Neodiprion lecontei: one gene and its partner. The protein of the gene in region 2 purifies or fractionates together with the protein of the main gene of each other region. This does not show direct contact. Links are inferred from orthologs where the notes say so. Each region holds a gene or a part of one and is shown on either strand. Other genes may lie near its edges.

The links.
Region 1: the proteins of spastin (region 2) and nuclear pore complex protein Nup133 purify together in Homo sapiens (affinity purification with mass spectrometry; 3 studies listed by BioGRID and IntAct, counting the BioPlex papers as one, with this or other methods). This does not show direct contact. The link is inferred for Neodiprion lecontei from reciprocal best matches to the Homo sapiens genes SPAST and NUP133.

The regions. Positions count from the first base shown.
Region 1 is NC_060264.1:18,456,770-18,460,696, reverse strand, and holds the start of nuclear pore complex protein Nup133, read left to right. Parts: upstream 1-1,519; 5' UTR 1,520-1,648; coding exon 1,649-1,761; intron 1,762-2,129; coding exon 2,130-2,469; intron 2,470-2,945; coding exon 2,946-3,263; intron 3,264-3,927. UniProt on the Homo sapiens protein: Involved in poly(A)+ RNA transport. Involved in nephrogenesis.
Region 2 is NC_060266.1:1,222,769-1,226,695, reverse strand, and holds the start of spastin, read right to left. Parts: upstream 2,513-3,927; 5' UTR 2,124-2,512; coding exon 1,559-2,123; intron 1,030-1,558; coding exon 859-1,029; intron 1-858. Other genes in the region: uncharacterized protein LOC107218303, read right to left, coding at 3,416-3,927. UniProt on the Homo sapiens protein: ATP-dependent microtubule severing protein that specifically recognizes and cuts microtubules that are polyglutamylated.

The DNA of each region.
Region 1 (3,927 bases), on a different chromosome or scaffold from region 2:
GCAGGAGCTCTTTCCCACGTAATTTCTCTGCCGTTGGTCCTAGTTACTTTTCGCTTGTGATTTTTGAGTCCCAGGGGGTCCAATTAGTCAGAATAGGATCATACAAGTCAAATCTGAGATTATTTATTCATTATTTACCATGTGCTTTATTCTATTAAGGTTAGAATCTTATCATGTCCAACTTTTTTCATGTTTTTCATTCTACGGTCCACACAAAAATTTAAAAACAAATACATCACTCAAACAACTTCACAAGGGAGAAAGGCTTTGACCTGACTTATTCTTCATTTTGATACCGTTGGATATAGCGTTCTCTGTGTTGCCTATCTCAGCGACAACAGCACTCTTTTCGGATTTAACGCTAAAAATTTTCTCCACTTTCATAGACCACGTTCCCAACACAGCGTTCGGTCTCCCTACTTCTAGTCTTCATGGTTTCGCGCTTAGCTGACTACGGCGCTGTAGGTTTCTTCATGTTGCCAACTCAACTGTCTACAGTGAAAAATTAGCCGTCCCAGATTCATTGTCCTCAAGTGTACATGCGCATGCGCACGCGCTGTCGGCTTGCCGCACACTCAACTGGCGGAATGCGCGACCTAGTACGAAAATTGGTCCCCTATCGAGCACACCTTACTTGACTCCTTACATCATGGTCATGAAGATCGATTATCGAAATTCGAAGTTCGAACACCGGCTTCGAAAATGCGCACTGAAACGTACCAAAACAAATTGTGAAAAGATTATGCTGTCAGACCAATATCAAATTCAGTTGAATTACAATTTCTGATGCGTATTTGCCAGTTTCAAAGACCAAATTTTCTTGCATCATTTATTCATCCCAGTACCAACTCGAAATGGATCGTCCGAGCATGAGTGCATCTTTGGGAAACACTCTAACCTCACCACGAAAGAGAATGTCATTAACGCAGTCCCTGAAGAAGAGTAATTCGTAAGAAATCTTCCTACTGTATCATTGATTTCGCAATCCTTATCTCAGAATACGGGAAATATTTCGGCAAATTTCCACTTCAATGAATGATTAAAAATTTTCGAAATCTCTTCACCAAATGTAAATAATGTTTGGGATTGAATTCGTTGGATGAAGAAAAATACGATATATTTCCGAGAGAATTTCAAGCAGTCGGTTCAAATCCCCAGTTATATTTCCATGGCCCTGAAATATAGTTTTCTACATAACCAAACCATGTGTAAACCAATAATTTCTTAGCATGGTTCATAGCTAAGATGGGTAATTAGGGATACTGGGTAGACGAAACTTGATACTCTTCAATAGTCTTATTATGAGGTTGTCGTCCCTGGAGTATTCACCAAACTGTTATAATCATAAGTTGAGGAGATATCACCAAGTTTGAGAATACAAAAGTAAATATTACTAAAGTTATAACTGAAAGCTTAAGTATCAATGTTTCGTTTCCAATTGCTGAAAGACGGTTGCAAATATATCAGATTCCAGCCATTTGTTTCTGCAGGTCCTCATTTTATTCAAGAGACCATATTGTACATATTAAATCGAACAATGTCTTCATCATAATTGCATATCTGATTTTTTGATATTATAACATTGCACCAATTTCGATTATGGTCAACAAATGACAATATTAAATTAAACACTGAAAGAAAAAAGAAAATGTCTGAGAACATAGAAAATAGTCTTCGAAATAAAATAAACTCTAGTCTAATGAAATCAATCCACACTGCTAGATTTTTAACTTTTTCGAAGCAATTTGAGATCAAGTATCGGTATGTAAGCTCTTGTTTGAAATCCCAGTAATATTTATTTGGGTATTTTTAACGTGATTTTCGTAGCTTAAGAATATAGTAATTGGTTAAATACTCAGTGTATGACAACCTCGTAATAAAATTGATAACCAGTATCGATATTTGGCCCAAAAACCTCCTCAAAAAAATATCTATGTAATGTGAAACAACGTAAGTTAATTTTTTTCAAATATTGAACAAACAACGCACATACACGCGTAGCCACCGCTAAACATACTGCGGAACTTATAAAGTATCGTAAGATTTCACCTCTCATCGAATTTCAAATCCAGCTAACAATTAAAATGCGCTTATTTGTTCTCATCTGAATATAAATTGTTCAATTCCAGAGTAATAAGCATTTCGGGGCGATCGAATCAGTCTGTCCAAGTAATATGCAAGACGGCTGGCCATGTCGTGGAAAGTTTCGGACCTTCTTTGCCGGTTCTTGTGACCGAGGCATTGACGTTTGTTGATCGAAACACCGCAGTCAGCGTCAGTGTGTCTTTAGATGGATGGGCTTGGCTGGTTTGCGGGCGCAGGCTCCTTGTGTGGCAATGCAAAACAACCATTCATGATCCCAAGCTCAGGCGGACCTTTAACAGTCAATGTCGAGAGTTGCTACTTCCTCAAAGCGACCTTGCTCACAAAGCTGACTGCATTGCTGTCTGGCTGACTCCGGGTCATCAGGTTAGGTGTAAATCTAGGTGTAACAAGGAATAGCATACCTGAAGTTTCGATTGATCAAGCTTCAAGATTGGTCGGAAAGGATTCCAATAATACCGAGTAGATCACTGTAAGACTCGGCCACAGTTTTAATAATTCTCTACTTTTCAAAAGCCTCTCAGGTTTCATTCACTTTTCAGAAATTCGTCATCTAATCACAGTATTGGTAGAAAAGTTTGGTTTTCGATCAGACTTGGTTCATCGAAACTTCAAGCATATAGGTCATAAAGAATAAAGAATTTGGTGAACAGAAAATCAAGTAATTTAATTAATTTAGATGAGAAAAAAATTTGACAAATTTAGAAACCAGGCTCCGATTCATTTTTACTGGAGGCTTTCGACTTTAACCTGGAAAATTTTAGTCTTTCTGTAAGGATGTTGTTATTATATCGCATTTTATTAATCATATTTCTCATATTTCTCATTTTTTTAATACCAAGGTTCCTAGCTGCATGGCTGTATCTCCGGAAGGCGTAGTTCGCTACTGGTCAAGCGTCGCTCATGAGGGGTCGTCGGTGGAAACAAGCGCAGAATTGGCTGGACAGGAGGTTGACTGTCTAACTTACGTACCAGGGCACGGTTGCATTTTAGCAACGACGACTTGCACAGTGGCGCTTTTGCAGCCGCAATTTACCAGTGGACGAAACAGCATTTCTTGCCGAGTTCTTCGCACCAGCCAAGGCTGGCTAGGAGGCATAAGTCGTAGGATGTCTTCCTTGATCTTTGGAGCCATGCCTCAATCTCCAGTCACTGAAACAGTACTGAATTTTTTAATTTATTTAGCATTTTTAGAGGGATTAACTAGGCTCAAAGTATAGTATAACCACCACTCACGAAATCATATGAAATCCTTTGAAATTATACGGTGAAATCTCAGGAAATCTACTGAAATCCCATGAAACCTGTTGAAATCGAGTGAAATTTTTTGAAATTCCTAACATTTTATGAAATATTCTGAAATCCTGTAAAATCCTGTGAAACCTCCTGAAATCATTTAAAATATTTGATATTTTTGTAAATACAAGAATCCCCTGAGACTTCATAAACTGTTTTCAAATTGTTTGAAATCCGGAGAAATTCTGTGGAATCTTGTGAAATCATTAGAAACCACCAGAAATCACTAGAATCCTTTGAAATCTTATGAAATTCTGTAACATTCTGGGAAATCTTGTAATATCTATGAAACCTTAATCCTTAAATCTGCTATACACACAAATTGATGAATTTATTTTCAAATAATTAGTGCTCGGGTTTTGTGGAGCAAGAGATATTTCAATCCTAGTTGCACATTTTCATTAAGTTGATTAAAGTTCATGCGAAATATTCCATGTAGCTCGTAGCAAATAATCTTTCAATAACAGGTGATTTTTCACATGTCGATAGAATTTGTGAAATATCGGTACGACCTTCAATATTTCTGCA
Region 2 (3,927 bases):
AATTACAAACAAACATTCTCCGCCATGCCAAGAAACAACTTGTCGTTTCTTATTTTGCATATTTATACCACTACTACTACATTTTAATTAAAGTTACCCTCCTAATTTCTCGGGTTAATACCAGCCACCAAAACTTTACCACGCAATTCGTTGTTCGATTACTTTGCAAAGCTTGCGTATAGGAAATTTCAACCAGAACATAATCAATTTCTTTTAATGCCTGTATTGCTAAGTACTACGACGCAGCGATGCTTATGATAATGATGATGCTCGTTTTAAATTTGGAAAAACAAAAAAATAAATAAATAAATAATCACAGATGAATCACGAATAGAAGAGAGTAAAAAAAAAGTTAGCTAAACATCGACATGCGGTGTAGTACAACAACCAACAAAGAAACGAACAAAGAGAAATAGGTGGAAGATAGGAGATTGACGTATAGATACACACAGATATTGAAATTATACAAATATTTACACACAGTTTGATTGTGCATCCAAGAGCGAATGTCATACTTTGGCAATTACTCTACAAACTTGTCTGCAAGTCTCAGGGTTTTCAAAGCGTGTCCAGTAAAAAATTAACAATGCACCAAGTTTTAATGCTTTTTCAGGAAAGGAGTGGTTTTTGATAATGCTCGGAAAAATTGTAAGCAAGTAAATTTAGAATATGAGAATCGTACCAAAAAAAATAACGATTTTCAAGATTTCATAAACTCAAGAATTTTTTCGGGACTTCGGACGCTATGTTTAGTGTTCCTTTCAATCTGTCGCTGCTGGCATATGAACAGCCACCGATCATAGTTTCTGCTCTTGGATACAGCAAATAGCAAAAAGAGGAACATGAAAATTGATTTACCTAGGAAATCCAACCGATCCTTAGCCATGGCGAGATTAGCACGCATTTTGTCATGCAATTTCTGAGCCCTCTCCCAGACTTCGCCACGTCCGCCGTTGCATTCGACCGCTATGCCTTTTTCCAGCTCACCGATACCCTTTTTATAGAGCTCGATAGCCATTTCTTTATGACCTGTTTTGTGGTGTGTCAGGTTGTCATTAGGCAGGATAAAACGGATATCTGGCTTATAAAAAGGTGTTTTGACACTGGAACAGAGTCCTCTAAATAACAAAGAGAGTACAGTGGAACCCTGAATTATCCAAACCATGACTTGATTTATCCGAACTTTGGCTTAGAAAATACATTCTGGTGCACGATATGTACATTGTTACTCGCTGCAGTTTTGCAAGCCCTGAACATGTTCGAGTAAGCTGGAGAGAATTTCTCATCTTCCGGCGTCAGTCCAATCGTAACATTGCTTCTACCAATAAAATAAGCGTCCTGTGTTTGAAAGAGGATAAACGTATAATTCGATTTTTAATATAGACTGCTTGTGGATTCAAATTTTTGTTGTACATGTTATCATCCCTTAAGATAAAAATTGCTTTTCGGTTATCCGAACTGGGTTCGGTCCCAATTAGTTTGGATAATCGAGGTTCTACCGGACTCGAAGAGGTAAACAAGGCCGAGATAACGATCAGCGACAGATAAGAAGGATTACCCTCGTTCTCCTCATCGATTTTGAGGGCCTTGCTGATGAACTCGAAGGCCCTCCTGTGGTGGTGTTTCTGTTTAGCGAGGAGAGGATCACCGGGTCCAGGACCAGCGGTGCGTCTCGGAATCTGGGACATCTGTTCAGCCTCGGGGTCGACGACGCTGAGGAGGTTATCTTTCTCGGTTCCGTCAGCGTCCTGCTGACCGACGACAATCTCGAGATGACAGTTGGCCTTGAGGCTCTTTTTGCCGTGGGCGATATTGGCGGTGCTACGCCTGAGGAATAGCCGCGAGGTCGACGTGTAGAAGTACTTGAATATCACGAATAGCTGGTAGAGCAAAGTGCGCAGAACGTTGAAGAGGAATATCAGGGGGAACGAGACGACGTACAAATTCCGCTTGTGAATCGAAGGGTGAGGGCCGTGGCCCTCCGAGTGGTGATGGTGGTGGTGGTGGTAGCTTATCGTCGTCGTTGTCACCTTGTCGCTGTCGCCGTTCTTTATCACTCGCAATTTTTTCGGCGACTTCGTACTCGACTTGCGGATCGAACGCCCGCCATCGCTGTACGACATTTCCTGTTCAAATCAAAGGTTCAAATAGCCACCGACCAAACCCCACCACCGCTCTCGCTGTTCGCGAAACGGATTACGCAATAACGCCGCTTTTCTATTCACCTGACAATTCGCAACACCACTAAAACCCCCCATCCCCCTCCCCCCCCCCGACCGACAGGTAGATTTTCAACCACTGTATTTCGCCGTTCGATTCACGGTAATTTGACTTAAACGGCCACTCGTGGCTTTACCTTACAGACTTTATTATATGTGTGTATATACATTTATTACACGCGACGCGCGCCGCCCCGTCGCAACACGCATGATTCTTCGAAATTCACCCAAATATGGGGCGGGGTTGAAATTCCGGATTACTAAAAGTCCCGAAAGCGACAAATTTCGAATTTTTTCATGGCGTAACTTATAAGTAAAGAAATCAAACTCTGACGAAACATCAAATGGTTTCGAATGGTCCGAAGCCCGACGCTGAAAGATCCGGTTCCATTATTCGCTGCTCTAGGATAAACGAACGAATTAAAAGATAATTAACTCCGTGATCTTAACGACAATAAGCAACGTGTATTTATTAACTTTGTCTGATAAAAATATACCTATGTATCATGGATATAATAAGCTTGCTGTTATTCACATTTTGTTACTAGTACGTCAAATATAACATGTACAACGAATATATAACCCACTCTCTGATTCATTTATATTATTTACAAAAATATCACACGCTTTCCACATTGGGAAAATTAAACGATATACATCCCTAAATTTCTCTTACTACTCAAATACCCTCACTTAGGAATAGACGAGTGCTTGCTTTTTCAAGCAATTTTACGGATAAAGATTAACATTTTCGTAAGTTGAATCTAACTGAAAAGGCTATTAATATTGTTTTGAGACCTTTGTTAGATATAACGTAGTGGAATAATAATGTTGTTCCGTGTCGATCTTTCTCGGAAACTTGCTGCGAAAAGAAAAGCAGAAATTCATTACACAAAAATAGAACGATTATACACAAGATGTCTGTAACTCTTTACAGTACTAGGAGAGATTGAATAAATTATCTTAAATAATACAAAGACATAAGATGTCTAAGAAACGAGCAAATTCGTCACCTTGAATACGACTTTACAAGTGCAAAGACGTAAAGTTTAGGGACACTTGATGACCCTTGGCTTCGGAGTATTCTTGAAAATCTTGTAAAAGCTTATTGTTGGGTGAATATTTTAAAATCAGACCTCGAAAGTATGGAAGTTACTCTTGGTTGAAACTTCATCCCTGAAACGTTGAATTTCACATCACATTTCTCGCTTAACACCCGTACTCTGAGTGGCAGGGGAATTTTTTTTCCTAGACGATGATTCCCTGCGAGTACTGGACTCTGTATCTCTACTCCTCTTCTTCCTTGCGCTTCCACTGCTGCTACTACTGCTGCCGCCCAGGGATGACTTCCTACCATTTTTCTTAAGCTCCATTATTTTTGCTGAGCTCGACGGAACGTAGCTGTTGTCAAACTTCATTGTCTTGCTGGTGAAGTCCGGCTGGTACTCCTCCATCTTCTTTTTCAATCCTTTCGAATTAGGAACGTATTCACCAGGTATTTTGCTGGTCGTAATAGCCGAGCTGAACGGCTCGTAGGTTTCGTTGAAATTCAGTATTTTTGGTACTGAATTCGGGACGTACAGATCGTCCAGGGCACTGGTACCCACGCCCTCTTCATTCACGATGGCCGGAATGTACTCGTCTGAGTCGACGGACCTGTTGAGATTTTCTAGGGCGCTTTTCCTGCTCGGAATATATTTTATGTCCG